2 linked regions of the Pelodiscus sinensis genome follow. The protein of the gene in region 2 interacts with the protein of the main gene of each other region in a pairwise test. Links are inferred from orthologs where the notes say so. Each region holds a gene or a part of one and is shown on either strand. Other genes may lie near its edges.

What was found.
Region 1: the proteins of MLX (region 2) and MXD4 interact in a two-hybrid assay, tested with the Homo sapiens proteins (2 studies listed by BioGRID). The link is inferred for Pelodiscus sinensis from reciprocal best matches to the Homo sapiens genes MLX and MXD4.

The regions. Positions count from the first base shown.
Region 1 is NC_134715.1:117,916,415-117,932,816, reverse strand, and holds the start of MXD4 (max dimerization protein 4), read right to left. Parts: upstream 7,368-16,402; 5' UTR 7,306-7,367; coding exon 7,164-7,305; intron 7,126-7,163; exon of another isoform or gene 7,012-7,125; coding exon of another isoform or gene 6,949-7,011; intron 6,718-6,948; coding exon of another isoform or gene 6,651-6,717; coding exon 6,551-6,650; intron 1-6,550. UniProt on the Homo sapiens protein: Transcriptional repressor. Binds with MAX to form a sequence-specific DNA-binding protein complex which recognizes the core sequence 5'-CAC[GA]TG-3'.
Region 2 is NC_134739.1:8,863,798-8,879,427, forward strand, and holds the start of MLX (max-like protein X), read right to left. Parts: upstream 6,542-15,630; 5' UTR 6,467-6,541; coding exon 6,422-6,466; intron 6,082-6,421; coding exon 6,045-6,081; intron 5,284-6,044; coding exon 5,194-5,283; intron 4,392-5,193; coding exon 4,285-4,391; intron 4,134-4,284; coding exon 4,034-4,133; intron 3,406-4,033; coding exon 3,306-3,405; intron 2,784-3,305; coding exon 2,582-2,783; intron 1,500-2,581; coding exon 1,443-1,499; 3' UTR 1-1,442. Other genes in the region: coenzyme Q-binding protein COQ10 homolog B, mitochondrial-like, read right to left, coding at 11,289-11,456, 11,702-11,803, 12,447-12,639, 12,881-13,033, 13,673-13,758. UniProt on the Homo sapiens protein: Transcription regulator. Forms a sequence-specific DNA-binding protein complex with MAD1, MAD4, MNT, WBSCR14 and MLXIP which recognizes the core sequence 5'-CACGTG-3'. The TCFL4-MAD1, TCFL4-MAD4, TCFL4-WBSCR14 complexes are transcriptional repressors.

The sequences.
Region 1 (16,402 bases), on a different chromosome or scaffold from region 2:
CTGCTCCCCTCCTTTTTTTTTCTTTAATTATCACATCATAACTCTTAAAACTATTTCTCTTTTAGTTCCACCTCAAAGCAGAATTTTGCCAATATTATGGAAAAAGGCTAGGATTCCACAAATGGATGCATTGGCGCAGTCCTGTATGCAGAACTCTGACTCTAGTGAGACTGTAGAGTTTGTATGACATATCTGTATGTAAGAGCGAGGTCTGACATTGCATGTCATTAGGTGACTTAAACAAAACACATAATGACTGCTGCTGTCATACATACTATACTTCCTCATAAGAAACTTCCTCAACTTACAAGATGTATTTGATTAATGCAGCACTAGAATCATAGAACACTAGAACTGGAAGGGACCTTGAGAGGTCATTGAGTCCAGTCCCCTGCCCTCGCGGCAGGACCCAGTACTGTCTAGACCATCCCTGATAGATATCTATCTAACCTGCTCTTAAATATCTCCAGAGATGGAGATTCCACAACCTCTCTAGGAAACTTACTCCAGCATTTAACCACCCTGACAGGAAATTTTTCCTGATGTCCAACCTAAACCTCCCTTGTCCATGGCTTCTTGTCCTATCCTCAGAGGCTAAGGAGAACTATTTTTCTCCCTCCTCCTTGTGACACCTTTTTAGATACCTGAAAACTGCTGTCATGTCCCCTCTCAGTCTTCTCCTTTCCAAAACTAAACAAGCCCAGTTCTGTCAGTCTTCCCCCATAGCTCATGTTCTCTAGATCTTTAATCATTCTTGTTGCTCTTCTCTAGATCTTCTCCAATTTCTTCACATCTTTCTTGAAATGTGATGCCCAGAACTGGACACAATACTCCAATTGAGGCCTAATCAGCGCAGAGTAGAGCAGAAGAATGACTAGCATTATTTGCTTTATACGTTCAGTAATATAGATAATTTTCCTTCAGGACTCACTTTCCTAGGGGAAAAAAATAAACAAGAAGGATACACTTAGTTCAGAGAGTGCAAAACACATCATTGTTTTTCCGCAGTCTGGATTTTGAGTTATTTTATTCTCAGACTGTCATTTAATAAATGAAAGAAAATAAGTCCCAAACTCTAAAATACTCCTTCTGGATCTAGAGGTCCATCTGCACTGGAGCTGTGCCATTTTATATGAAACACAGGTTAGACATCCCTGATCTGGCACCTTCAGGACCTGACTAGTCCCAGATGAGGGATTTTTCCAGATCGGGGTGGTCATTTCAGGGGCCTCTCCCCGCTTCCTCTCCCCACTTCCTGGTTTTCCCCACAGCCCAGCTGAACCACACGCCAGCTCCCACACCTTCCCAGCCCAGCTGAGCCACATGCTGGCTCCTGGCACTCCCCCGCAGCCCCGCTGAGCTGCAAGCCAACTCCTGAAGCCCAACTGAGTTGCAGGCCGGCTCCTGGCACTCCTCCACAGCCCCGCTGAGCTGCACGCCAACTCCAGCAGCCCAACTGAGCTGCAGGCCGGCTCCTGGCTCTCACCTTGCAGCCCAAATGAGCCACCAGCTTCCGGGTCTTCACTCCCCTGAAGCGTGCCGGACCATGGATGTTGCCGGACCAGAGAATCCCAGATTTTAGAGGTACAATCTGTACTTTAATAGCCATTGGCCAGAGACAGTAGGACTCTACAGTCATCCCAGGTTACTTCCCTATGTACTAAGCTAATGGTTATAAGAGGGACACCATCACTATTTCTGGTGTATGAACCTCGCCTGAAAAAATCAAAATGAGACACTTCAGAAATGTCAAAACGATTGCTTTTGACATTTCTGAAGGGTTTTTCCCCCTTTTTTTCCAATGCAACCAAACAATTCACCACAAAGTCAATACAAATTCACAAAAGGTTTCATTTGACCCAAATCTGCATTTTTTGGCTGAAAGAATTTTAGCTGAACAATTCACACACTTCTAGTCTGCAAAGAGCAGTGTCAGACAGAAATCAGACTGGTTTGCAGTGACAGACAAGCAATGGAGACATTAAACAATATTTTCATTTGAAACGTGCAGTTTTGACCCACCACATCCTTTTGCACATATATCCTTCACCAGAGCACAGTACATTGTTCACAACTATATCCATTGATATAAAATATCAAATATAAATACTGATTAGTTTCAATCAAGGCAGTGGGGATATTTATAAATCTAAGTTTTGCTTTCATTTTCCCCTCTTTTTCATCGGCTTCTAAATTAATAGGCCAAGCAGGCTACTTCACAGACTTCCAGTTTCCTGCTCTGCCAGTAAATCTAACTGTGCCCCAATAGTCAGGGATCGAGCACTAAGGTTTTATTCTGCATATTTACTTACTTCTTATCTTTTCATTGGCCAGAACACACACTGGGCCTGATCGTCTGCTGCTTTGTGGTCTTTTACACTCATGCGAAGATAAATTATAGTGTTTTACACCCACTGTTCAGTGATAAGAGACTGCACAAAGTACCAGGCAATGGAGAATCAGGCTTGTCTAACTGTACTGTGCTGTGGGCCACTGTCCACAAGGGGGTCAGTTCAGGCTACCGGTTTTCCCCCTTATATAAACACAAAAATGCATAGGCTTATCTCTGTTAAGTCGGCATCACAAACAGGAAACAAAACAAGAAAGCTCCAATTATCTGCAAGCTACAGTGAATTCCTATTTACAAATGACTTTCTGCAACCAAGTAATCTTCTGAACTTCTTTGACTTTCTGCTTCTGTGAAATATTCCCTCTTAACAAACTGCAGACATCTGTAATACATCCATTTTATTATACTCACTGTACTACATGGAAAGACATTTGAAAATTTAACATTGCAACCTCCAAGGCACAACTCTACTAACTGAATTTTTTCTAGCCTGATTTTATTCCAATTGTGTATTAGCAATAATTTTAACAAGCTCCACTGTATTGCTTTTAGGAACTACTATTATTACTCTATCCAAAGGAGACATTTACTACACAATGGCCAAATAATGTCTAGTTATCACCATTACAAGAGACGCTGACATGGGTTTATCTTCCCTCCCCCAGAAAAAATCAATTACAAACTTGCACCTTTTTCGAATCATCCATTCAGACTGGAAACCAAAAATCCAGTTTAATCTACTAAGGAATTTTCATAATAAGCATCTGGGGGAAACACTTCTGAACCTTAGGAGAGAATGCCATAGACACAAAGAAGTTTTTCTTAAAAAACCCTTTCAAGTCTGTTTTGTATAAAGTGGGAACATATAAATATAGCCTGATTCAAGGGCAACGGACTGGACATCATAAGGAAATGTATACATCAATCTATTAAAAACTAATATTTCTTATACAGAGATGGGGCAAAAATGTCATCAAGCAACATTTTCTGCTGTCTTCACAGTAACATGAAAATGTTTTCTATAGCAACATAAAATTAAAACTCACCGAGTGATATTTTAAACAAAAACATCAACAAACAAAAATATACAAAATATGAACTCTTTCAGTGAGCTGACTTTTGTTAATAGTCACAGCTGTGGCTGAAGAAACATTTTTTTCCCTATATGAACCTGTGTCCAATTGCCTGTTATTTTTTTTTTAAGTATGAGGAGAGATTTGAATTGAAATTTCTCATGCTTGTTCTCAGTCCAGAGGCTAATTTAATTTTTTAAATTCAATACAATTCTGTGACCCACTTTGGAGTTATCCTTGCATGAAAGAGATGCTTTTCAAGCTTTAAAAACAATTGTTTATGTGTTTTATTTGTGCTCAAATGATATAGGCAAAGGTTAATTTTCAAACCTGCTGAGACTTCTAGAAGAAATAGGATTTAGAAATAACCAAGTTACTGAAAAAATAACATTCTGCAATTTTGCAATATGCAGTCGCCCTCCCCCCACCTTTTAAAAAAACAACTCCAGAGCACAAAGAGATGGCCCTCCAGATATTCACACCCAATCATGCCTGCACCTATCCATGCATTGAGATTCTGTAAAGTGATTAAAATAAACCAGCCAAAAAAGGGTTGCCTGACTAGTTAATTTTATTCTTTTCCACTCAGGATCGTCCGAAATCTGGCCAGTTGTCTAGCCCCTTCTTAATCCCTTGAACTGCTTATAAAGATTTGATTGCATGATCAAATTGAACAATACATTCAAATTCTATGCACTCTGAGGCTGTGACCTGACAACCGAATAACCTGACATTTGCTCCCAAACAAGGGTGCTGGAACAATTTGGATAGTGCTACAAGTCATTGAACCAAACTGTAAACCCTGTATCTAATGGAAACCACTTCAAGCCAAGAGGTTCAGCAGACTCTGAGCACCCCTAGCACCAGCGCCTATGCTCCCAAAATGAATAAGAGAGGTGGTACTATTTGAATTTGGGATCATACATTTGAAATAAAGCTGCATCTGAACCTACGAGCTTAAGTAACAGATAAAAACAGGCATGTTGTAGGCAAGCACAATGTAGGACTGCTCAAACACCTCTGCCAATGCACCTCAACCCCGTATCGCAACAACCTGCTATTTCCAGCCATGGGTCGGTCTGTGTTATAGAGACTGTCTATAGAGATTGCTGTTTTCTTTAGGATGTGGACAAATATCCACGGTGAACTAAACATGGAGACTGAATTTGTGGCCTTAGCCACGGCTGAACCTACTTCTCCAGAGGTATTGCCCTATCCCACACACACTATGAATGAGCCCTTTTTAGTCTGTAACAAATAAAGCTGGTAATAAAACAATAAAAAGATCATTATGCATTTTTTTAAAAGCGTTTGTGTGTGCGTGGCAAGCATTAGAGTGAAAAAAATATTAGGAGAAATATCAGACAATCCGTCAGTAATGATGTGTGCTCTGGCTTTGATAAGCCCGTCAAACCTCTAACAAGGAATCTTTTAATTCTGCTGAAATTGATAGATTATATATCCTCTGCTAAAAATTCAAAGAACTGTTTTGCTGTGGACAGCAAGAAACCCAAGAAAGGAAATGATGGAATGAAGGTTCCCCAAGTAATACAGATTTCTCTCTCTTCCGTACAAGAAACAAGGATTGGAGCAAATCCACAAACTCTAGAATTAGAATTGAAACCCTAGAATCCTGTTTAAATAACTGCTTTTGCACAATATGGTTACTTTATCAAAAAATTCAGAGGTAACATGTATATAGATGAACAGTGTCTCAAAATCTAGGCACCTCTGTGATTCCTGGTAATTCACATTTAAAAATCAACTGATATTGTATCTTTGTAACCAATTTTACTATTACTTCCCCCCACTCCTGAATGTATATTCCCAGAAATATCAGCATTCATCGCTATTTGGAGTCAGGGATGGCCAGGGGAAGGATTTACACCTTCTATTCCCCTCAATCGTGTTCAAGCACATTTCCCTGCAGTGGTTACTGCAAACACAGCTCATTGTGATCTTGTATTTTTCTGAGCAAGCTGTTTGCTTTTTGCTTAGTTCATATCTTCAAACTTTAATATCCATGACTGGGCCGATTTCTACTTTCCCATTTCACCAGTGTAAATCCAGAGCAATCTCACTGACTACACTGGGGTTCTGCAGCATTTACGCTGGAGTAAGTGAGATCAAAGAATTTTGCCAACTTTCCTTTCATTTGAAAAATGTCATATGCAAGTTTTGTTTGTTTTAGGCTATTCTGCAGGGCTCATCATATTCAACAACAATTTTTTTAAGGAGTCATTTTGTTAAGAGCAGAGAGCACCAATGGTCTGCAGAAGGAGGGAACCATCTGGTCTCCTCCCCCCTCAAGAACATAAAGTGCAAGAAAAGAAGGAATTCCCACGTAAAGAGGAGGCGCTGTCTCTTTAAGACAGCCTTCTGCACGTAGACAGTTGCACTCTGAGCACTGCCTGGTCAGCCAAACAAAGCTGCAGGGAGGCTGCGCAGAAACCTTGAGCTAATGGTGATCACAGCACAGGTAGTGGCTGCAAGAAACAAACAAACAAACAAAAAGCAGCTGATCATAATGTAACTATGCATTGTAATAATGCTGCATGCGGAGCGACTCGCTCAGGCAGCTGCTGCACTGACCAGGGCAAAAATGCCTCAGACCGTCCGCAGAGGTCAAGTTCATTCGAAACATTTTAAAATGCATACAAAAGTCCCAGTATAATTGGAGCCACGTTTTCATCCCTTTCCCCCCACTCTCCCCTCATCAAGATCCCGGCGTTACACTGCAACTGGAGGCTGTATTTGCTCTCGCAGCAATAAAGAGATTGTAAATAAGTCCTGGGAGGGAATTAGTGTCATGCAAGGGAAGTCAGGATTTTGATTATTATTTTAAAATGCATGGGAAAACAGCGCACATTCATAAACAAACCAGGCGAAGACGCGTGAGTGCAGATGGTTCAGAAAGGCAGTGAGTGCTAAGGCGATGGTGTACGCGTGGCAGTGTTTATATGAGAGATCAAAACAGAGCCAAGCCCATACAGGGGAAAAATGGCGACTACTGGGAACTAAGCGACAGGATTAGTTATTATTTGTATACATCTATGAGCTGCACATAAACTTACACATATAGGAAAAGTTGCTAATTCACTGTAGAAAACGATGGTACAGCTTTTACCTGTTATTCTGGGATTTTCTGGCCAGGGTGCCTGCCTTTGTTTTCTTTCTGGAATAGTCACTATCGAAGGGTAACACTGATGCATAGCCATGTTCTGCTTCTAGGGACAAAGTCAGCATTAGTGGCAATATATTTTTCCATGCATTTTTTCCTCCTTTGCAGGAACGCTAGGGTAAAAAACAAAATGTTGGTTGATTTGTTTAGCTTTTATTCCGGATTTTTAAAAGAAACACAACAAAACGAAAAGTGCCAAAATAGGAGGATCATCTAAGTAAACAGTAAAACATGGCTAGATCATGCAAATCTTGAAACATTTTGACAAGGGAAAGGGGAAAACTGCAATACAATCGCAAACGGCAACACACAACAATGTAACATATATGAAAACTTCAACATACATACAATCCAAACCGATTCGAGCCATAGCTTGTTTGTTTAAAAAAATTGCAAGAAAACTGCATTTGTTCTGCCCCCTCTGCAGTGCATCTAACAAAAACATAGGGCACTTGTGCAGGTGAAGGAAATGTGGACTCGGAGAAAAGGGCGTCCGAATACCCACGCAACAAAGAGAGTTAAATGTTATAAGTGCCTGCTAGTCATTTTTTCTGAATACCTCTGTCTCTTCTTTCCAAATACTCAGCTGCTTCCAGAAGAATTAACAGAGAGTTCAGCTCCATTTTATATGTGTTCTTTGAGTTATCAAACTCTGTATCTGATTGTCTGCCTTTCAAACAGCTGAGGAAGGCAATAAGCATCAGAAACTGCACTGAGTTCACAGGCTGGGGACTTCCAAGTCCCCTATATAAACCACCTCTCTCAACCTACATTTGACACACAGGCGACAGGCGATTGACATAGCCAATCATGGACGGCATGTCTAAAAAGAGGCGGGCTTTAGCTCCAAAGTAGAACCAATCAGGAAAAACAAGCTCCCTCAGGTTTGGAAACAGAATGTTGACAGATCTGAATCTTCTCCCTGATAGGCCAGCCACTACAGTAACAATTTAGAAGCCGAAGCTTAGCAACAGCACGTGGTGGCCCGGCCCCCAGCCTACTGAGTGGCCGGCTTTATGCATATTAAATAGGCAGCAATTGCTGATTGGAGATGAGGAGTCTATGCAAATAAGCAGCTGAAACTAGCCAACAGTTTTGGAGAGGTGTGTCCTGTTTCAAGCAAGTGAAAGGGGAGGCGCTCAGGAAAGTGAAGGAGGAGGGGTCCATCTACCCGTACTGCTGGTGGATTTATTGTGTTGCTGTGAGGAAGAGAAGATCGGGCTGCAGTTCAGTTAGGGACTGGGGATAAACACTAGAGTGCTCGAATAGAAGCTCTACGGTCCCTTTCTTTCCTTCCCTAGCTGTAATCAGATGCATGACCTAAAAAAGAAAATGAATCCACCATGCAGGGAATGTTATATAGAGATAACTTTGCCTGACAAAAGATGATAAAGTACCTAAACTATGTAGTATAGCAGCACCAAATGCAGCCACCTCTGGGTGGAAGGGCTGCAGCAAGTAAGGCAAATGCATCTGGCAAAGGAGGTTTTGCTTTTACCTTACCAGGGTAAATTTCCTGCTCTTACAATAAAGGACCATAGGCTCTTCAAGCCAAAACTGTTCCAGTTTGGTGCTTTGATTTTTGGGTGACCAACTTCAGATATTCTGGATTTGATTTAAGTGTTCTCACAGAAGACACAGAACTGTTTTAAAAGTCTCACCCCAAAAACCCACCCATCTCTGTGCTCCAGAAAGATCTGAACCAATCCTGATGAAATCTGAATTTATGAGTCCACAGAGTCCCAATTTCAAAGTTGAAAGCCTTTTAGTGGCATCCACATGTGAAAACAACCCACTGTTTTTCAGAGTGGATGCTTACTCCAATAAATCAAATAGGCTTTGTTCTGTTGGTTATACTTTGTCCAAACTCTTCAGGTTATAAACTATTTTATAGCATCTTTCATCCCAATGGGCTTTTCAGATTTAATAACAGATACAGCAGTAAATAATAATTGATATGCACATAATAAGCAAATATATTTTGAGAACTGTTTTACCATTATATAAAATACACATCTGTAGCCAGCCCATGACTGGATGGCTGTTGCTGTCATAGGGGTGTTGCTAAATGGAAAGTAAAAACATCCTGTAGCAAGTAAAAGCTGAGCAGTAGCAAGAGTACATGCATTCTAACCACCCAGGATGCTTTATACTGTGCTTGTAGCATTTTGTACTTATCTAGTTTACCAAAAAAAGAAACCAGTACTGTGGAGCAGTTTACGGGGAAACATGAGTTTGCAATTTATTTACGCAACTGATGCTCCATCCTGCTTCTGCTTAGGATGACAGTAGGCATTTTCTTAACAGTGCATGGTTTAGGCATAATGTATATTTTATGCACTGCAACCAGACAGGCCTCCAGTACACAGGAGGCAAATGGCCTTTCTGCCATCTCCCTGCAAAGGCTAGGGGTGGGTTAGACGGTTTTAACACACTTTCTTTGGCAGGCTGACTACAGAAGTACTCCTTCCCTCCCCCCATCCTTTGAGGAAGATAGAATACCAGTGATCTGGTTGGTGCAATTTGTCTCTGACAGAAGCCAGTACCAGCTGCTTCAGAGGAAGGTGCAAGAAACCCTGCAGTAGGCAGTTAGGGTCCAAAGTCAAGTTAAGATACGCAACTTCAGCTACGTTAATTGCATAAGTGAAGTCGAAGTACCTTAACTCGATTTTTGGCACTGTCTACACAGCAGGAAGTCGAGGGAAGAACACTTTCTTTTGACTTCCCTTACTCCTCATAAAATGAGAGTTACAGAAGTCGGAGTAAGAAGCCTGTTATTTTTAAATTATTTCAAATTATTTCAAAATAACAGGCTCGCTGTTTAGACGCACACTCTGTTATTTCAAAATAACATGAGTTATTTCAAAATAAGCGTACAATGTAGACATAGCCTTAGAGAATAGCCTGCCTATATCAAAAGTTCTTCCTCGGCCAAAAGCATTTTAGGATGTATAGAAAAACAGATAATTTTCATTTTAGATTTAAATATTGCAGATTTTTTTCAGTCTAATTCTTTTTTGAAGGAATTAAGGAACATGCATCTGAAAAGTAACCTGTCATGGATAGACTAGGGCCTCATTACCTATTGTTTCTGTCCATTTGTGGATCTGAATATGGTACATCACATAACTTGTTAGCTAACGTGAAGGAGCACAAAGGGGGAAAAGTACATTAATAAACATTAAGTTAGTGGTACTTTCCTTCCCTTATCTTCAGGTAGGCTCTGATGCTGCACTGAGATCTCTGTAGGCACAATTTTGTGCTGCAAGGTATCCTGGGAAAGATGTTGGCTCATGCAGAATCCCATAAATCAGCTGGACTCCATATGGAGAAATGGCTTTTCTCAGGTGCAGGGGCCTGTCTATATAGCTCTTAGTGCAGAATTCATTCACTTTAACAAAAGCAGGACATATAAACAATTTTTTTAAAACAGACCATGATTTGATTTCATCACTTCTTCAGTCAAACAAGGCCAAATTCTGCATTTGTTGAAAAGTATTTATATGAGTAGTCTATTGACTTCAGTAAAACTATATGAATGATTAAGAACTATTTAGTGTAAGAAAAGGTGGTAGACATGGCCCGTCTTGTTTACCTTACGGCAAAAGAGAACATAAAAACATAGAACGGCCATATTGGTTCATGTAGCCCAGTATTCTGTCTGCCAAGAGTGGCCAATGCCACTCCCAGAGGCAGGGGCAGATGACGGTTTTGCGGGGCCCCGGGCAGCATACTTCCACGGGGCCCCCCCTTTGCCACGGTGCATGCGCAGTGACGCCATGCGCATGCGCAGCGGTGCCACGGCGCATGCGCGGGGCTTTCTGAAGTGCGGGGCCCGGGGCGGCCGCCCCGTTCGCCCTGCCGTATATCCGCCCCTGCCCAGAGGGAGGGAACATAACAGGTAATCATCAAGTGATCCCTCCTCTGTCATCCATTTCCAGACAAACAGAGACTAGGGACACCATTCCTCCCCATACTGGCTTATAGCCATTGATGGACCTAACCTCCATGAATCTATCTAGCTCTTTTTTGAACCCTGTTAAAGTCCTAGCCTTCACCACATCCTCTGGCAAGGAGTTCCACAGGTTGACTGTGTGCTGGGTGAAGAAAAACCTCCTTTTGTTTGTTTTAAACCTGCTGCTTATTAATTTCATTTAGTGATTCCTAGTTCTTATATTCTGGATACAAGTAAATAACTTTTCCTTATTCATATTTTCCACACCAGTCAAGATTTTATAGACCTCTATCATATCCTCCCTTAGTCTCCTCTTTTCTAAACTGAAAAATCCAAGTCTTTTTAATCCCTCTTCATATGGGACCACTCTAAACTAGGGATGTTAAGGACTAGTCTACTAGTTGATTTCCTCCCCCTCCCCAGCTGCCTCTATCAGCTGGAGGCAGCAAAGAGGGGGAAAGAGGTGGTACTTCAAAGTGGCAGCGCCACATAGCTGAGCCCAGGATCAGCTGTGTGGCACTGCTGCTTTGAAACACTGAGGTGGTGTTCGAAGGGGCAGTGCTGCACAGCTGATCCCCTGCTCAGCAGTGTAGCACTGTCCCTTTGAAACACTGCCTCGGCATTTGAAAGGAACAGTGTCGCACAGCTAAGCCGGGGATCAGCTGTGCAGTGCTGCCCCTTTGAAATGCCGAGGCGGCTTTCAAAGGGGCAGTGCCAGCACAGCTGATCCCCAGCTCAGTGGTGAAGTGCTGTCCACTTCTGCATTCCTCTTTTGAAACATACAAGAGCCTGTGCTCTTTGTACATTTCAAAGCTGGAACCCGCATGCAGCCCAGAGGCAGCGGGACTTCCCACTGGCCCGGGGTGCATGCGGAGTTCCCAGTAGGGGCTCTTGTACATTTCAAAGGAGGAATGCAGAAGTGCCTATTGACTAGTAAATTAACCATTACTTAACATCCTTACTTCAAACCCCTAATCATTTTTGTTGCCCTTTGCTGAACCTTTTCCAATGCCAATATATCTTTTTTGAGATGAGGTGACCACATCTGTGCAGTATTCATGATGTGGGTGTACCATGATTTTATATAGAGGCAATAAAATATTCTGTTTTATTCTCTATCCCTTTTTTAATGATTCCTAACATTCTGTTTGCTTTTTGGACTGCACTGCACACTGAGTGGATGTTTTCAGAGATTTATCCACAATGACGCCAAGATCTCTCCCTTGAGTAGTTCTAGCTAAAATAGTCCCCATCATATTGTATGTGTAGTTGGGGTTATTTTTCCATTGTGCATTACTTTACATTTCTCAACATTAAATTTCATTTGCTATTTTGTTGCCCAATCACTTAGTTTGTTGAGAACTTTTTGAATCTCTTCACAATCTGCTTTGGTCTTAACTGTCTTGAGGCTTATCAGTGCAACAAAAAAGAGATGGCAAATAAATTATAAGCTGCCTGTTTTTATTTTTATTTTTTTAAAAAAAGCCATTCAGATAAACTGAGATGTTAAATCTCTTTCCAGGATTCATTTATGCTAAATATGCAAAGACAGTAGGCCCAGTTCTTTAGTTGGTGTATACTGTGTCACCAGATATACCACCAGTGTAAAATAACTATAAAATGCTACTGAAATGGAGATACCGCATTTGACCACCATTCTATATAGGTGTAAGTGGTGACAACATGAGAAGCAGTCAGGCTGCCCTATAATTCTGATTTGGTAGCATTTTACACCAGCTTTGAACAGGTGTAAATGACTCCACTAATACCATGCTGCAGCAAATATGGTCCATTGATTGGTGGGGACATAGAATTGCTCAAAGACTTACCACTCATAGCCTGAGCCACACGGATACTTCTGCCGTTGAACTCATGGGGCTGCCACAGAATCAGGTTCTTGCTGAAGTTAGTTGTTTTAAGATAATTGAGCATTGTTTTATGTTCTTCCTCCCCAGGGCCCGTTACTCCAAATTTACCCTTTAAATATCCCCCGCGGCATTTGCATTTACATGGCTGCCGCTTTTTTCCGGCTTGAAAGTAGGAATAAGAGATCCTCTGGAAAAGGGCTTATTTTCCGGAGAATCACGTCTAGACTGGCGCTTTTCTCCGGCTTATCCCCAAGCCGGAAAAAAGCGGCAGCCATGTAAATGCAAATGCCGCGGGGGATATTTAAATCCCCCGTGGATTTTGCTATTCAGATGTGTCTAATCTGCATCCCTTTTCCGGAAAAGGGGTGCAGTATAGACACAGCCTTGGTGTGTTTCTGCCAGATTCCCTGCCGGGGGAGTGGTAGGCAGTGCTGCTGCTCACAGGACCCTGGGTCGAGACCTGGTGGAGTAGGGTGGACCCAGGTTCCCCTACCAGGATGTTAGCCCCAACATTATCAACCCTAGCCAGTGTGCCATGTTCCCTGGACTAGAGGGCTTCTTACTGACTTAGGCCATTAGGTGACACGATCTGGGGGACAAGGTCATGTGTGGGCTCGGGGTTCCCTGGAGACTGATTATTTCGTGAACTGTAGAAATGGCTAGCTACCTTGTGGCCAATCAGGTAGCATCCCACTCAGGAAGAGGCTCCCACCTGTGATGAGGAGCACATATGCCACCACAATGACAAAAAGCAGATGATTTCTATACATGGCTAAATTACCTTTATCAACTGCATTTAGCATATAAAGGGGATTCCTAAATATTTTTTACACATACTATCCTAGGAAATGCAGAATACATGATTTTGCTTAAGCAAGTTATGAGCATGGGTGTGCATGTACACATGGAAGTCATGTTGATTTTGTGTGGACTAAAGATTTCATCAGAATCATTTTGGCAACCACATGTTACTCATGATCAGTGCAGTCATGAATGTTCAGGTCCTCCCACATGAATACTGATAAACCTTTCACCACATTTATATTTTTGTAAGATGCAAGACAATAATATAAATGTTATAGGTGTGATGCTTCCCTTGTTGTAGCTCCACTCAAGTAGTGGAGATGCACAGGCATAAAATTGATATACATCTCAGAAGAATCAGACCCAATGACTTAGTCATATACAGAAAAAGAAACATGTACTTAAAACCTTTCCTATATTGGGGCCCTTACATACTGCTTTTCCATCTTCAACTTCTGTTCTATGCACTGGCAACAGGAATGACAAGGGCTTAAGAAGCAGCTGGTCTATAGTGATGGAGCTATCGTTTAGGGCAAAATTTAAGCGACTTTTTATGTAGAAGCAGAAAGTAGCTCTGGCTGCCTCTTTTCTATCCAGTATGATTCATAGTCTTATTGGTAGTATTTAAAGTCTTAAATAACATAGCCCCATTCTGAAGGGATCTTTATTTGCCTTATGTCCTGATACAGCATTTGAAAGAGTATGGTTGGTACTACTTACAATCCTGAGTTAAAACCTTTCAAGGACTGTAGAGGTAAGGTTTCTAACTCTGGAACACTTTTATTCATAGTTCACTACCTGCATCCTTTTGTACTCTGTCCTTTGCCGTAGTTTCAGGATGTGTCTCGTTGTAGCTAGATGCTATTTATCTATTTTTGTTTTCTTTCCCTGGCATTTCCCCATGTCAATACCTGAGCTTTGCTGTGACTTTGGGGCAGTCCCTCTGGGGTTTTTGGTTTGAGGTATTGTTAAGGTATTGTAATTCTCCAATAAAGAATACAGGTCTCTCTCCACACAGGAAAAGGAGTCTGCCTACAGGGATGGAAGGACAATTTTCTCCCTGTATGTGGTCAGATATCTGACATTTAATTTCACATGTTACTTACGGTACAAGTTACTACGTTGGTTTGCTCATCTGTAAAACTAAGACACAGAGAGGTTAAGGAAAACAACAGTGGTGACTGATTTTAAGTGCCAAAATTGAGACATGCTTGGTCTGATATACAGAGATGCTGAGCACCCACAGCTCCTATTCAATTCACTGCCTTCAGAAATCAGGCCCAAAGTGTCTCAGGTTTGGCAACCCCAAATTAACGGCCACTTTCAAAACCATAGGCCTCTGGGGCTTTCTAGGGTGAGTCAGCCAGGTGCAGGACTTGGAGTTAATGTGAATAGCCCTTTCCCTGCCCTGATGTTTTATAAAATTTGGCTTGTGAAAATGAATATGCATAACTCAAAGATGCTTTAAATAATCTCATGTAATCTACAATCTGCTGGCTCTATTTTTTTTTACGCGTGTCATTTTTTTTACGCGTGTCACAGTAAGAGCTTGTCTCTGGTTTGAAGCTTATACCTGAAATAAACTGTTTAAGGTAAGAATTTGCATATAACAAGTTTCTTCATGTATTAGAACTAGCTATGTATCTTCTATTTGTTTAAATTAAGTAACTTACATTGATCTGTCTTCATTTGCAATCACTTAAACACTTGTTTACTATCAGGCCTACTGTAAATAATTATGGTGGGGGAGAGCAACCAGCGTGCATCTCTCTCTCCCATTGATAAAGGGAGCTTACCTGATGAGCTTTCCCTGTATAAAAGTTTTACACACACACAGACATGAATTCTAATCCTCATTATGGTTCTCTTATTTAAATGAATGGAAAAACTTCCATTAATGTTTATGATGCAGGATCTAGTCCTACACGCCTGAATCAATACGCATTCAGGTCAGTGTGAACCTTTCCACTGCCTTCAGTGGGCTGTGCATCTGATAGTATGAGGCTAGCTTACTGCATGCACTTGGGTAGCTCTGCCACTGACTTGATGTTTGGCCTGCTCAAGTCATGTGTAGATCTCTAGTCTTTGTGTTCCCCTTCTCTATAATAGGAACAACAATTACCTACTGCACAGGGCTGGTGTGGGACTAAATTAATGTCTATAAAGTGCTTTTGATAATTTTACACTTGAAAATTTAACCTGAAAATATTAGTACTTAAAATATTTAAGTACCAGAGCCCCGATCACTCTCATTGCTGTCAGAGAAGGTTTAGGAACAATGCCTACTTCTTTGTAGACCTGAAAGCACTTTACATGAGAAACCAGTATCATTATCCCCATTCCACAGATAGAACTGAGGTACAGAGACTTGCCCCAGGTTCACACTGTAGTGTCAGGATTAGAACCTAGGTTCCTGAGCCCTCACAGATGCTCTAACTACTAAGCCATACTATTACAGGAACCTGTGTTATGGCAATCGGGCCTGATTCTCTGTTGTTCTATGGTCTCCTTCAGCATTGAAAAGGGGACTTAAATCACACTTATACCCACTTTAAAGTCCCCTCTAAGTATAATGTCAGGCTCCTTTACGTTGCCAGAGCAAAGAGACAGGGACTTAGAGCGGCTGAGAATCAGCCCCATTGTGTATGTATATTTTTGCAATAACTACTGTTTGAGCCAGCTGAAGTATTAGAAGCAATTACTTATTTCTTAATAGGTCATGTCTGAGATCAGGTGGTCTTGTTAGTTATTTTTAATTTTGTTAAGGCATATTACAGATTGTAAGTTGCTTACACAACTGTTACAACAACTGTTTTGTATAAAATGTGCTTACTCCTCTCCAGGATGCTCTTTGTTGCAGTCAGGGATATGCCTTACTGAAATTAAAGATTCTGACAATTCTTAGCCAGGCTGTGCACAAATAAAAAAACCCAGAGGTGAATCCAGTTCAGCACTACCAAGTGGAATGTTCCATTTTAATAGAAAAGGAAGGTGAGAGTGGGGGTTTTGATCAATCTTAAAAAAAGATTTAAAGTACCATTATAGTCAGAAAGCAGAAAACCATTTTCTTACTCATTATATTTGCATCCTGTGTAGCTGTGAGTCATCTCTTCTGCATTTACTGGAAAAGCTTTTTTATTACTGTCAACACTGAAAGTTAGTATAGGTATG
Region 2 (15,630 bases):
CAAATAATGTAGTAAGAGATTCACTTTGGTGGAGTAATTCCAATAGCGTCACCTTGTCTGAGTAGTAAAAAGCCATTGCTGCTTTAGCGGACAGCTGCCTGTTGCTGTTAAGATTTCTGGGGTGCTAAAGAAAGAATCAGGGTGTAGCTGGTTTAAATTGTCCCAGACAAGCAGCTGTCTGCAAAATGTAAACTGATAGCAGGTTAGTGTGATTTTTTTTTTCAATTCATTACAAAAATCAAGGCTTTATTATATATAAAACTATATAGTTCTAAACAAGAGGAGACGTCTAATTAGTCTGTGCTACACTATTCTACTTTCCCAGACAGTATGACTTCATTGTAAGTGCCAAGTAATATAAAGCCCGACAGATCAGCCTCTGTGCCGATAAAGCTAGAGAAGCCTGTAAAGAAAGCTGCATTCATCTGCAATTGTTTAGGACCCGGGGCAAGAGTCAGGCCAAGGCAGCAGCTGGCTCAAGCCAAGGCCAAAGCTATTGTCATCTGTGCGAGAGTCCCTTTGACACTGTTCCTCACCTCTCCATGTGGCAGTGATGGGCCTGCTTCCTTGGCATGCCTTTTTGAAAGTCATTCTGCACCAGGGAAACAAGCAGCCGTCGGTCCCTAGGCAGGACGAGGTGATTGGGACACACCAGAATCACTAGTCCCGAACCCGTCTCATCGGTAACTAGAACCAGCTGCTTCAGAGACAGGTTCAAGAAATCCTGCAAGGGTGGGAAACCTGTCCAAGGGACACTTCTTCCTAAGCCCCGTTGGTAGAGGTCAGTGTGTAGCCTGGTGCAGGAGGGTTTATAGCTCAGCCAGAGCTCTTTAATAGGGTGGGGGAAGAGAGGTCTCCCTGCCTGTTGCTGGGCCACAGTCCCTGCTGCCATTCACAGCCCCATGGGGTGATGCAATGTCAGCAAGTGCATAGCCTGAAACCAGCCGTGTTCAGCAGCTCCCAGCCAGGCTCTGTGGTTTCCAGGCCCTGCATCCTCACAGGCAGTAGTCAGACTGCAGGCCATTCCCCTCTCCCTCTGCCCAGAGCAGGCCAGGCAGCAAAGTGCTGAGCACCCGCCACCACTGTAGGGAGTCAGGCGCAGGAAAGGCCTAGTTGCTGCTGTGCCAGTTTGGTGAGACCCTCCCCCTCCTTCCTTCTCGGCAATAAGAAGTGTATTTAATCCACATTTAAATTCCCTTCTCTGCCGAGTCCCTACGGACCCTCTGGTGCTACAGACTGCGACAGGGTCTGTGGAGAGGTATGTACAGCCTAGTTTTGGTTTTGGCCAATACAATAAATAATCCAGAGAGAAGCTTTAAGAACAACCACAAGGGAAATAGACCAGCTATTCCTGGAGCCTGTTTCCCAGTTGGGCCGTGCTCTGCAGCTGTCTGGGTGAAGGACACAGGCCCAGGCTGCTGGGACCCGGGCAGGAACAACAGTCAGTAGAGCTGATTCTTCAGCTGATGCAGAACCCCCAGCACGATGTCGCGCAGAGTCTGAGAAGGAGGAGAAGGAGGAGGCAGGATCAGTCACCCCGCGAGACAGACGAACATTTGCCTTGGCAATGCCTCAGCGGCTTCCAGCGCAGACCCAGGAACTCCTTACAGAGCGGGAAAAGTGAATAGAAAGGCAGCTGGGTACCCACTGCCCCACCCAAGCACAGGTAGGTTTAATCGCAACATACCTAGGGGAGGTACCGTATTACTGGGAGTATGGGACCTACCAGCTTGGATCAGAGGAAGGACTCAGCCTGGTCAGTTTCCTGTCAGACTGTAGCAGAATCAGCTGCTTTAGAGGAAAAAAGCTTAGTGCAAGCAGGTGTGGTACAGAGGGTCCCTGCTATAAGTCGCCCCGGTATACATCTGTTCCACACTAAAGTTGCTGATGTTTGTAGAAACTGATGCATTATAAGTCATGCGAAACACTCCCCCCAGTTTGCTTAAACGGAAGTCAGCCGTGGGGAAAAAATTACGTGCTTTAAGTTAGTGATAGATATGTAGCCTTGTTAGTCTGGTGTGGCTGAAACAAAAAGCTTTAAGTTGTTTCGCTATAAGTCCAAGTTTTTTGGAATGTATCTTGGACTTCTAGCAAGGGCCCCCTGTATACCCACTTGCCTCTCAGGGTATGTCTATGCAGTGCCACGTAGCTCAAAATAAGCTATGCAATTCGAGCTACGCAAATTGCATAGCTTATTTTGAAAGAGTCTATTTATTTAATTTCGAAATAGACCATTATTCCAACAAGTCCCTTAATCCTCATGGAACAAGGTTCACCGGGATGTCGGAATAGCAAGCCCGTTATTTCGGGATACCGGACATATCCCGAAATAGCACCGCTGTCTAGACGTACCCTTAGGGAAGGTTTCTGTCCTATCAAAGCTTGCTTTAGCTGGAGAACAAGAGCCCCTGTAAAAACTCAAAAACCATCAAATAGTCCTGCAGCACCCTGGAGACTAGCTAAGTGCCGAAGGGTATCTCTACGCAGAAAAGAACCTCACCGCAATGAATTTCAGAGCTAGGGGCAAGTCCCATGAAGGTGCTTGCCCCATGTCATGCACTGTACGGCTCCTAGAGCTTACCTGTGGCTTACAATGCTCCTCAATCCAGCTGAAGACACACGCGGAAAGTTCCTGAAAACTTGCTACCGAGATGGAGGCATTAAAGGACTGGAACAGTGAATCCATAATGCCTTGGAAAACATTAAACTTGACTTGGTCAGAGACCTGGTCTTTCCCCTCATTCGGATTATCCTGATGAGCTTTCACAATCTGCTCATAGTTTCTGAAACAGACCAAAGAAACCTGGGTAAAATGGCAGGCCAGGGAAGCTAGTTCTGGCCTGAGACACTCTCCAAAGATCTGTTTGAGGTGAAAGAGACTCAGGGACGTGCTGCAGTGTTTGTGGAAGGGCCTTAACTGTGCTTGTTAGGACTGAAGGTAGCGCTCTTGCTGGTTGTAGGGTTAAGTTAGCAGGCTCTGGGCTTTAAGTTCCTTGAGGGGAATAAATACAGGGAAATTGTGGCCTCCCTTCTGTGTTGGAGAGGACACCCAGGAGCAGGCTGGGTCTCCTTGTTCAGAGTCGGTACAGCCCTACGGACAGTCCCTGGGCTTAAGCCATGTCCCCACGCGCTGTACTGGGATCTGCGTCAAGCCCAGATTCACAAAAGAGCCAGGTAGTAACCAGCTCTAGGATGGAATGACACGGAACAGGTGGAGGGGGGAGATGAGCACTTACAGCATGTGCTGCAGTATGCAAATGTACCCATCTCCCGGGGTGGGGTGGGGGTGTGAAACTGTTCCTTACACTTTCATGATCTTCAAAGCTGTGACATCTTTCCTGAGGGTAGAAACGTCCTCCTCCTGCTTCTTCTTCTCCTTGTGGAGGAACTGAATGTAGTCAATGGCTGCAGGGGAGGAGAGGGGAGGGGAGAATTTTAGAATAGATCAGTGATGTCACTCTGCAGGGGGCAGGAGGACGGTGGGGCCTCTGCAGGATTGATGCATGGCTGTCGATTTCTTCCCTGCAGACCTCATGCATCCAAACTGACCAGGAGGCAGTCTCCCAACTCCTCTCCTGAGAGTCCCAATGCGTCATACCCCAGCTCCAAGGAGAGGGGAGCCAGGTGCTCTAGATCATATGCTGGGAAGAGTCCCAGACTCCTAAGCCCTAGACCCAGTCTTCCTGCCTCAACCCAAGTGATTTCAATGCCTGTGAGCAGCAAGGAGGGGCTGACAGGTGGGTGTGTGGGGGTTGAACTAGGTAGCTAGTGCTTCACCCTGCAACACTGTGCCTCCTTTGCCTTGCTAGGCTGATTGCACCAGTGTTACTCAGCCTCAGCAGGAGATCAGGGGAGCAGTAACCTGCAGAGCTGAGTAGGGAGGAAGCAGACAGCTCAGTGAGGCCTGACACAAGATGCCTATTAGTTTGGTTTTGAGTGTCTGCAGGGAAGGTTTTACAGCCTGGGGGGGCTCTCCACATTGAACCCCCATGAACAGAGGGTGGCCAGTGCCCCACTCCCCCTCCGGACTCACTCTTCTGCAGGACGATGGCTTTGCTCAGTTTCTGGGAGCCGATGGAGAAGTCCTGCTGCTGGCACGTGGGGACAATGGCCTGCAAGTCGTCGTAGCCTTTCTGTGGAGGAGCAGAGCAGAAGTGACAAGGTGTTGTGGATTCAACAGCAGCGGATGATTAGAGCTGGCTGAGTCAGTGTTTAACAAGGTGTAAATCTACAGCTCCCACGGGTTCATCTGAACCCCTACAGCATCCTGAACGCCTGGGTTACCTTGATGGCATCTCGTCTCTTCTGCTCAGCCTGAGTGTGGGCACGTCTGCGCCGGTCCTTGTAGGACTCTTTGTAGGTTTCCTGGCGATAATCGCTGTCTTCATCATCTGCAGCAGAAGAATGGGCACCGCTGGCTCGGGGGCACGTGGCAGCTCCCAGAGCCCAGGAAGCAGACACAAAAACTGCTGAGGCCACACAGACACCAGGCAGTGTCTGCGCTGGGGAGCATTTCAACTGTGCCAGAGGGCTGGACTAGCTCCACACAGCTTTTCCAAAAGGAGGGGGCCAAACACAGTAAAGATCCACCTGTCTAAGGACATCTCTGCTAGCAACAGTCCACAGTGTGTGAGCAGCTGGGGTAATTCATTATAGGGAAGGCTGATACTGGATACCACCTGCTTCTCCCGCAGACCCCAGGGCTGGGTCCTGGCTTGTCTAGGCAAGATTCTTACTAGCAGGGCTCTGCTGCATTGGAGTCTGCCCCAGGAATTTCAAGGCACTGGGTGTCTAAGCAGAGATCCCTTCCATAGAGAGACCAGCTTTTCAGCACTTCCTGGAAATGAGGCCTCTAAGGTGTCTCAGCCTGAGCATCCATCACCACTCGGCATTTGAAATTCTTGGCAAAGAAGTTTCGTCAGCCCCTCGCTCCAGCTCTCCTCTGTTCTCCATGGTCAGGGGAGTCCCATCAAACTGCCCTGCAGCAAGCCACGATGCCCTCCCTGGGCTTCCCTACCATTCTCCCTAGCCAAGGACAAGATGTCTGCACTAGCTGGCAGAGGAAGCTCCTGCAATCACGGTCTCGTACAGAACAACTCCTAAGGAGACCGAGACTGAACAGGAATATGAGTGAGAGAGTGGGAAAAGCCCCTATTGTGTGAGACGCTGCTGGAACATGGAGAAGGACCATACCTGTATTGGGGACCGAGGAGGCACTGGTGGAGCCAATGCTGTTGGCTCGGGATACTATGCTTCCTTTCCTAGTGCTTTCCACAAAGAATGCTGAAAGAGAAAACACCGTAGCATATTTTCCTACATCATGCAAGAGGAGGTAAGTGTCACTAAACCTGAGACACTGTAAACTGGACACAGAAGGGATCAACTTTACAAGGCAAATTACAGGGTAACTAGCTCCCAGACAGAGTGCAGATAGATGCAATGAATGCTGAAATGCCACTGGGACCCGACGTGAAACCTTGCTGTGCTTGAATTGGTTAACTCTAATATCCTTTGCACTGCAGTTTCCCCAAAATAAATTTCAGGAGACATGAGAAGGGCTCCACAAACCTCTTACTGATGGAGCACAAAATACAATGATGATTTTATCTGTGCTGCTTTTCCAAGGAGCAGATATGTCTTGCTTTAAAGAGAGAGTGCAGATTTGGACCAAATTCAACTAGACTGTACTTCTCCTAGTAGCCTAAACTAGAGCAGCAGTACTCAAACGTTTTGGGCTGCGGAGCCCTTTACATGTGTAAAAAGTTATGTGGAGCCCTAGCAGTCCACTGATTGTGTGTGTGTTGAACTTATGCAGAGCCCCAGCCGTCCACTGATTGTAGGGGTTGCACCTCTCCATGTTTCCAGTTTGTCAACCTCGCGGCGCCCCTGGAGATAGCTGGGGGAGCCCTGGGGCTCTGTGGAGCACAGTTTGAGAAACGATGAACTAGAGCCAAGGACAGAAACGACTCCAGCTCCCTGGCCCATTGAGGCAGCTGTGGCCTGATGGGAGTGTGGGAGAAGGGGACACGGGGGGATCTACTCACAGGCATCCAACCCGCTGTCGCTGTAGGCAGACTCCACCTGGGGCGGGGCGGGGTGAGCGAATTGCAGCAGGAGAGAGAGAGACACAAACCAGGCAGTGAGCGAGCCGTTTCCTCTTTCGGGCACGTGCCTTTTTGCGCAACAAGCCATTATCCCACCACGTGACAGCACGTTGGGGTCCCATGGGGGTCGCCCCCCCCCCCCCGGCCCTGTGGTCACCCCCCCAGCTGATTCATTCCGTGACCTCTGACCCCCTCCGTGGGGGGACCCCTCCGCCTCCGTGAGTGGGGGGCGGGGCCGGGCAGCGCCGCCCTCTCCCGGGGAGACGGGGCCTCGCGGTGTGTCCCGCGCCGGCCGCCGTCCCGCCCTGGGGACTCACCTTCCCCCAGGGGTCCTCGGGCGAGGTGCTCGCCTGCTCCGCCATCTTCCCCAGGGCTCGGTCATGTGACCACCGGGCGGCAGCCAATCGCAGCGCTCGCCCCCCGGCGGGGACAGGGGGATCCGGGAGACGCCTCCCGCGGGGGCTGACGGGAGCTGTAGTTCCACCGCGCGGGGTGACGGCGGCCGAACCCAGGGTTCTGCGCCACCAGGGGGCGCCGTGACACTGAGGATTCTAAGCCGGGCCGCGAGCCACGTGGCGTGGGGGGGGGAGGAGGGAACCACGTGTCAATGCTGCGAGGGGCGGGACTCTGACCTCACATGACCCCAGCCCCTGCCCTGAGGCTGACCTTTGACTCAGGAGACCCCATTTCCGATCTAGGGCCCTAGGGCTGGGTCCTTGGCCTCGTGTGACCCCCACGCGGTGCCCTCTCCTTGACCTCTTGCCGTGGGGCAGGCCCTGCAGCCACCGCCTACCTACTTCCTGTCTGTGGGCCTCCCCCCAGCTACCCAGCCCCATGGGACCCTGGGAAGGGGGGCTCCCGCCTTGGCCGGGAACTGCCCCTTCCTCTGAGGAGGCCTCAGCCCCTGGAGCAGGGCATGGGGCTGGGCTCCTGGGGGCAGGGAGCACTGTCCCGCCCTGCTGTGATGTGTGCACTCTTGGGGCTGGGCAGCGCTGCTCACCGAGGGGGGGGCTTTGAGCCACTCAGGTGATGGGGCGGGAGGCAGCTGCCTCAAGGAGGTGGCTGGCGCTGTCCCTGCACGAATTTCTTTTGGGACATTCCCAGCTGATCCCTGCAACGGGGCCCTGGCAGCACTTGCTGCAGCAGGCTCAGTGTTTGCTCTGTCGCTCCTGCCACCGTCAGTGGCCTCCTGCTGGCTGCGTGGGCCTCCCCAAGGACCCTGCAGCCTGGGCTTCCTCCTAGCAGGAAACGAGCTTCCCAGGACACTGCAGGGGCTGAGGCTGTCTCACTCCCAGCGCCAGCAGGAAGAGCCAGCCCCTGGGGCCCGACAGAGCTGGGTACAAAGGAATCAGAGACATGACTGGATGCCGGGGGAGAGGGGAGGTGTCCTCCCAGGGCAGCACAAAGCAGAAAGGGCCAGTGGAGCAGGCGGGGCAGGGAATGGGCATCCCAGTCATGTCTCTGATTCCTTTGTACCCAGCTCTGTCGGGCCCTTGCCTGCAGCCCATGAGTGCTCTACAGCCCTGAGACAGAGCCTGCCCCAGCACTGCCAGCTGGGTGCCGTGAGCACACGGAAGTGACATGCAAACGTCACACCTGCCCTGACGCAAGTGAGGCCCTGCCTCTGCCCCTGCCTCGGCAGCACCACCAGGGCCCCAGGCTGGCAGCAGCCCAAGGTGTGTGATGAGCATAGCCCCAGGGCTCAGCTCTCATGCTGCCTGCATGCCACACACCTCACCCCACCTGCCCAGGAAACCCCCCCAGCTAGGCCTAAGCCCCAGGGAAAATCACCACGATTCCTCCCCTGTGCAAGGCACTTGCTGGCCCCCAGTACTGAGCTGCAGTAGCAATGGGCTTCGCCTTCCCCCCACCCTGTGGGGACACACAGCACCTGGGGCGCAGGGTGGATGAGGTGACTTGCCGCAGGTCGTGGAGACATGCTGTGTCAGAGTCAGGAATGGCCAGCCAGGGCTGCTGATGCCCTTCACCACTAGGAACCGGGCCACCCATCTCCCTGGGAGTCGCCCAGCCTGGCAGCCTGTCCCAGCAGCTGCCGCTGGCACAGAATGCACCTCGCCACTTGACCATTTCTGCACCTGGTGTGACCAGCCAGTGCTCCAAAGCAGGACAGGCCACAGTCTGCCTTGGCCAGCTCCCTCCTCCTCCCCCCCACGCGGTGTCAGCCCATCCCCTCCTCCCCCCCGCAGCCCAGGACCCATGCGCTGCAATTGGGCAGTGGGACGCACACCCTGGGGCACAGGCCATGTTGACTCAGTCAGATGGGGCTGGAGAACCTGCCTCTTCCATTGCATCAGTGGGAGTCTCTGCCAAAGCAGGCAGGCAGGTCCCTTCCCATCCCCCTGCAAGGGCAGCCTCCCTGGAGACGCACCCCCAGGCTAGTGCACCACGGAACCCCCCCCCCCCCCCCAAGCACACACGGAGCCCTGCTTCCTACGCAGCCCCACTGCCCACTGCAGCCCCCGGGCGAGGCACGCTGGGCAGGGTGCTGCTAGCTGGGCACCCCTCTCCCACTGGGGGAGGCTGCCCCTGCTCCAAGCTTTGAGCAGAGAACACGGGAGCCACGTGGCCACCGCCCTGAGCCCCTGGGCCCAACCTCGACTCGGCGTGTGACCCTCCAGCAGCCACCAGTGCCCCGGGAGTGCCACAGAGCAGCGACACTTCCCTAGGGCACCCCTGGCTCCCCTCCCTGCCCCCTCACCAGAACATGCCCCCTTAGCCTACATCCCAACACGACGTCACATTCTCCAGCCTATGCCAGGGGCCGTTGATTCCTGCTGCTGGCGTAATCGGCCCCGAGATAACAGCCACCTTCTGTCCCCGGCCTGGCCCTTCTGACGCTGGTTGCCCGGCTCGCACAAAGTCCACTGCTGACGTGCCCCTGCCCCCCCCCCCCCAACTTGGCTGCGGCCCAAGGGGACTCAAAGGGCACACGGCACAGTCCTGCTGCACTGAGCCAGGCCTGAGATGCCAAGCGCAGCCAGCACAAGCTCGCGCGTCCCCTGAGGGGTGCGAAGGGAACAGCCCTGGGGGGCCGCACTGACCCATTCCTATAGGCTGCTACCTGGCCAGGAGTCGCCCCCAGGCCCTGCGTGGCTCGGTGCTGCACAGACAGACCCATCTCAGGCAGCGGGATGAGAGATTTGTGCAGGGGACACTCCAGACCCAGGCAGGCTCCTGGGAGTCTCTCTGGAGGATGCCGGATGCCTGGAGCCACCTCCTCTGACTCCCAGCTGCTCACAGGCCCCGGTCCCCAGCCCTGGTACCACAGGGCACCTGCAGTGAGGGTCTCCCACCCCGAGGTGCCTGCCTGGCACTGGGGGATTTTGAGGGCTCAGCACCCAAGCCAGGGGAAACGCTGCAGGCAGGGCCGGGCTGGGGGACCCCCTCCCCCCAGCCTCCTTCAGAACCTTGTCTGGATCTCCCGGCGCCAATAGCCTGCGCAGCACCAGGATCTGGGAGGGGGAGGGGCAAGGACCATTCCTGGGGCCACGAAGCCCCTGGCCTGGCCCAGCATGTCCCTCTGGCTGGGCCCTTCCAGGGCACCGCGTAGGGGCTGTTTACGAGAGCAGCTGTGATGCAGAGCTGGGGGAGAGCGCCAGGAACCCGGGTCTTCCCGCCTGCAAAGCCGTGCCCCTCGCGGCACAGAGAAAACATTCTGTGCTCTCCTCCTGCCCCAGCGCCCGGCGCCCCTCCCCAGAGCCACAAGCCAGGGGAATTGCTGCAGGCAGGGCCGGGCTGGGGGCTGCCCCCCAGCCTCCTTCAGAACCTTGCCCGGATCTTCCTGCTCCAATAGCCTGTGCAGCAGCGATCGGTGGGGCTGCCCAACCCTCCCCTCCCCTTCCCTTCGCATGGTTTGGGCAGCTGCCTACCCAGCCCCTACCCAGGGGAGGCCAAAGAGCTCAGCAGGGTGGGATGGGCGGGCTGTGGTAACCCCCTGCACCCCAGTTGAACAGCCTGGGCCATGCCCACAGGTTGCAGTTCGGCCAATTGGTTCTGTTGGGGATCTAGTTCATTGGGGGATGCTAACGGGGAAGGAAGGAGCAGGCAGCTCCCAGGGGGTTCTGGCACCGACTGGCTTCAGCTCTGTGAAGCTGGAGGGGGCAGCGGCTCCTTTGCCACCTTCCTGCGGGAAGGGCAAGTCCTGGAACCTGAGCACCAGCCCAGAGGCTGCCAGGAGGCCCTGGGCCCAGAGATGGAATGGCAGACCCGCCGGATCCCCTGCGCAGACACCCAATTGGCAAGTGGCAGGTGCCAGCCTATGGAGGGACTGGAGCTTCATCAGTCTGAGAAGCTGCCCCTGGGACTCAGCCCCTTCCCACTAGGCATTGCAGCCACACTCCCCAGCACCAGCGTGGGGCCCTTCGACCAGCAGCACCGATGCAGTCCAGGGGACTTTGCATTCAGCAGAAGGGGGCCGGGAAGACTCAAAATGGGGGGATGGGCCCTTCACCTTCACACTGACGCGCTGGGATGCAAGCGGGGCAGCTGCCAGCACTCACAACCCCCCGCCTAGCCGCACCGGGCAAAGCCTGTGTCACACCAGATCACAGGCAAGTTCCCTGCCAGGGGAGGGCTAGTCATGGTTTCACGGCTGGATGCCTCACATGAGGTGCCTCCAAACTGTTACCCCCCCCCTCCAAGAGTGGTCGTGCGTGGCCGTGAAATGGGCAGGAAGCTGGGCTCCACACTGGATTCCCCCCTTCCTGCTCCCAAGGCATTTCCTGTTTGCTCAGTGCACCGAGACATCCCGGTGACTTCACTTCCCAGACGCGGGGGGAGGAGGCTGCCGAGAAGCGATCCAGAAGCCAAGGCTGGCGGGTGAGGAAATGTTCGGAACGACAAAGCTTCATTGCACATTTTATTGAGGTCACATGAAAACCAGAACATTTAAAAAAAAACCAAGACACAGAGCCTCTTAATACTGGATATAGCAGCAGGCCCAGAGATCAGGCCAAGGGCATTAAATAGAACCAAAAAAGGATTAAAAAAAATAATTTCTCTCCAGGGCGCGTGGTTAAATAGACATAAATAGACCCAGGGATGGGGCGGGGATGGGGGGGGCGTCCAGCCAAAAATCTGGACAGAATGAAACGAAGACAAAGTCTTCTGCTGTGCTCCCAGGAGGGTCCCACTGTGGCAGGAGAAGCTGCGCTGGAGGCGGCGTCACATGCAGCGGGCTGCCCGCACACGCTTCTGGGGCCGCCGGGCCGCCTGCGGGCCGTACGTCTTCTCGGCCCACCTCTCAAAGGCTGCCACCATCTGCTTCACCACCTCATTGAAGAACAGCTGGGCCAGGTGGGAATGCAGGATGGACTTGAACTCAAAGGAGACCTGTGGGGGGGGGGACACAGAGCTTAGCAGAGCCAGGGGGTGCGTGGCCAGGCAATTACGCACACGCCTGGGGACCAGGGCAGGACTTGCCAGCAAGATGGGGGGGGGGGGGGGGGCTGGCCTGTCTGAAGCATTCATCGACCCCGCATGTGACCTGCCTTGAGCGACCGCTCTGTGCAGGGGCCTCTTCCACCCCACGCCCGGCCCAGCCTGCCTCGGGGACAGGCCCGGAGGGGAATACTCACATAGAACTCTAAAGTGCAGGTGTCCGGCTGCCCTGGCAGCCCCGGGCCAAAGCTCCAGACGGTCTCCAGGTGGCGGAAGAGGTGGCCGTCATTGCACACAGCCTGCGGGAGGAAAGGCGGCTCGCGTCAAGTTTCAGCTGAGCGGAGAGGCGGGAAAGTCAATGCCCCCCCAGCCACATCCCCGCGGAGAGCCCGGGAGCCATAGACACAGGGCCTGCGGCGGCCAGGAAGAACCAGGCTTCCTGTTCGCGTCTGAGCAAACCTTTGCACAAGTCAGTGAATGTGGAAACAGCTGCACAGGCTGTGCGGTCACCCGCCAACCCCCATCCCTCGAGTGGCTGCCGGCTCGCTTGGGCACAAGCTCCCTATCCGGCAGCTGCCCCGAACGCCGACGTCAGCGCATCCCCAGCCCTGATCTGCCAGGAACTGGACCCAGGACAGTTCGGCGCTGGGTGCCACCCAGGTTTGGCTTGGCTCCTTGGAGCCCAGCTGTTCCCTCAGCAGGAGGGATGGGGTGTTGGGGGCTGCCTCTCACACAGCAACTTTTTGAGAGGGGAGCAGCCGGGATCAAAGCCATAAGAACAGGAGGTCTGTCTGGGAACCACAGTAGCCCGTTCCAAGACCAGCCTCTGTGCCCCTGCTTGACACGCTTCGGGCCAGTGATCAGAGGTGCCGAGCACCTGCAGCGAGTTGTGAGTGCTCAGCTCCTCCCAGCTAAGCCCCAGGCTCCCTGGCGGCCCCTTACCCGGATCTGGTGCTGGGGAGTCAGGGAGATCTCAGAGATGTAGCGCTCCACGAAGGGCGCGAAGCCGACCTCCAGCTCGGCCCGCGTCAGCCCTTGGCGGCAGGACAGGACCTTGGAGCTGCTGCACCACGGCACGAAGTGCTGGTAGCTCTCCACGTCGGCCACCACGTTGTACATCTGCTCCGTGGAGTAGCTGGGGGGGGAGAGACAAGCCGCCCGTGAGCAGGGGCCGGGGTGACAGGAGGCCGGCAGGAGCTCACGTTTCACAGGGTAGCGGGCAGAATCCTTGGCCAGGAGTTTATCAGGCCCGGGAACCCACCTGCACCCCACCCCCTCCCCTGGGTAACAAGCCCCAGCCCCCTCCAGAGGCAATTCCAACTCCCACCCCCTCGGCCAGGTTCCTGCAGCCCCCCCCCTCGGAGCCACACACTCACCCCAGGACTCGCATCTCCGAATACTCCATCCGCTTGCTGCCCAGCTGCGCAGCCGCCAGGTTCAGGAAGCTCCGCGCAGGCAGCACCAAGGCCGGGGTGACGGGAGGTCGCTTGGGGACTTGCAGAGCCAGGAGCCCACAGGAACTTAAATGCCTGAAACACAGGAGGCCGGTTCCAAGGGGTGAGCGACAGGGCACATCCCGGGGGGCAGCCCAGCCTCGTGGGTGTGGGCGGGGAACACCCCCGGGTAGCGCAGCCCTCGATCCCCCCGTGGGTCCAGCTTTCCTCTCAGCCCCAGCGCACTCCAATCCACGCGCACCCCAATCTCCCAAGACTGATCCCCGGCAGCACTTGGGGGGTGCCCCCGATCTCCCAACACTGACCCCCGGCAGCACTTGGGGGGTGCCCCCCGATCTCCCAATGACCCCCGGCAGCACTTGGGGGGCGCCCCCGATCTCCCAATGAGCCCCGGCAGCACTTGGGGGGCGCCCCCGATCTCCCAATAGTGACCCCGTCAGGACTCGGGGGGCGCCCCCCACTCTCCCAACACTGACCCCCGACAGCACTTGGGGGGCGCCCCCGATCTCCCAATGAGCCCCGGCAGCACTTGGGGGGCGCCCCCACTCTCCCAATAGTGACCCCGGCAGGACTCGGGGGGCGCCCCCCACTCTCCCAACACTGACCCCCGACAGCACTTGGGGGGCGCCCCCACTCTCCCAACACTGACCCCACCAGCTGGGGCAGGACCCGCGGGCCCGGGGCCCGGCTCAGCTCCCTAGGTCCGGCCCTTACCCAGTCCCGTCCCCGCGGCGCGGGCGGCCCCCGGCTCCCCGCAGCGCCCGCAGGAGCGCGGCTCCCCCGCGGCTGCTCCCGGCCATGGCTCTGGGCTCTGCCGGCCGGGAAGCCCCGGCCCCGGCATCGGCACCCGCGGGGGTGGCCCCGCCACGTGCCCAGTGACACCGTGGGAAACTCCCCTGGGGCGGGGCCGTGGCAAGGGAGGGCTCCGCCCCTTCGGGCAGGAGAGCCCGGGGACCCTGGGCGAGGGGGGGTCTGGGGTCCCAGGCGGTTGGGGGGTCTCTGGAGGGGTGTACATGGGGGTCTGTGGCCCAGGACAGCTGGGGGGGTCTCTGGAGGGGTGTACATGGGGGCCTGGGGCCCAGGACAGCTGGGGGGGTCTCTGGAGGGGTGTACATGGGGGTCTGTGGCCCAGGACAGCTGGGGGGGGTCTCTGGAGGGGTGTACATGGGGGTCTGTGGCCCAGGACAGCTGGGGGGTCTCTGGAGGGGTGTACATGGGGGCCTGGGGCCCAGGACAGCTGGGGGGGTCTCTGGAGGGGTGTACATGGGGGTCTGTGGCCCAGGACAGCTGGGGGGGTCTCTGGAGGGGTGTACATGGGGGCCTGGGGCCCAGGACAGCTGGGGGGTCTCTGGAGGGGTGTACATGGGGGCCTGGGGCCCAGGACAGCTGGGGGGGGGTCTCTGGAGGGGTGTACATGGGGGCCTGGGGCCCAGGACTGCTGGGGGGGTCTCTAGAGGGGTGTACATGGGGGCCTGGGGCCCAGGACAGCTGGGGGGGGGTCTCTGGAGGGGTGTTCATGGGGGCCTGGGGCCCAGGACAGCTGGGGGGGGGGTCTCTGGAGGGGTGTACATGGGGGCCTGGGGCCCAGGACAGCTGGGGGGGGGGTCTCTGGAGGGGTGTACATGGGGGCCTGGGGCCCAGGACTGCTGGGGTGGGTCTCTGGAGGGGTGTACATGGGGGTCTGGGGTCCCAGGCGGTTGGGGGGGTCTCTGGAGGGGTGTACATGGGGGCCTGGGGCCCAGGACAGCTGGGGGGGGGGTCTCTGGAGGGGTGTACATGGGGGCCTGGGGCCCAGGACTGCTGGGGGAGTCTCTAGAGGGGTGTACATGGGGGCCTGGGGCCCAGGACAGCTGGGGGGGGTCTCTGGAGGGGTGTTCATGGGGGCCTGGGGCCCAGGACAGCTGGGGGGGGTCTCTGGAGGGGTGTACATGGGGGTCTGGGGTCCCAGGCGGTTGGGGGGGGGTCTCTGGAGGGGTGTTCATGGGGGTCTGGGGTCCCAGGCGGTTGGGGGGGGTCTCTGGAGGGGTGTACATGGGGGACTGGGGTCCCAGGCGGTTGGGGGGGCTCTCTGGAGGGGTGTTCATGGGGGTCTGGGGTCCCAGGCGGTTGGGGGGGGTCTCTGGAGGGGTGTTCATGGGGGCCTGGGGCCCAGGACAGCTGGGGTGGGTCTCTGGAGGGGTGTACATGGGGGTCTGGGGTCCCAGGCGGTTGGGGGGGTCTCTGGAGGGGTGTTCATGGGGGCCTGGGGCCCAGGACAGCGGGGGGGGGTCTCTGGAGGGGTGTACATGGGGGCCTGGGGCCCAGGACAGCTGGGGGGGGTCTCTGGAGGGGTGTACATGGGGGCCTGGGGCCCAGGACAGCTGGGGGGGGTCTCTAGAGGGGTGTACATGGGGGCCTGGGGCCCAGGACAGCTGGGGGTCTCTGGAGGGGTGTACATGGGGGCCTGGGGACCAGGACATCTGGGGGGGGTCTCTAGAGGGGTGTACTTGGGGGTCTGGGGTCCCAGGCGGTTGGGGGGGTCTCTGGAGGGGTGTTCATGGGGGCCTGGGGCCCAGGACAGCTGGGGGGGGTCTCTGGAGGGGTGTACATGGTGGCCTGGGGCCCAGGACAGCTGGGGGGGTCTCTGGAGGGGTGTACATGGGGGCCTGGGGCTCAGGACAGCTGGGGGGGGG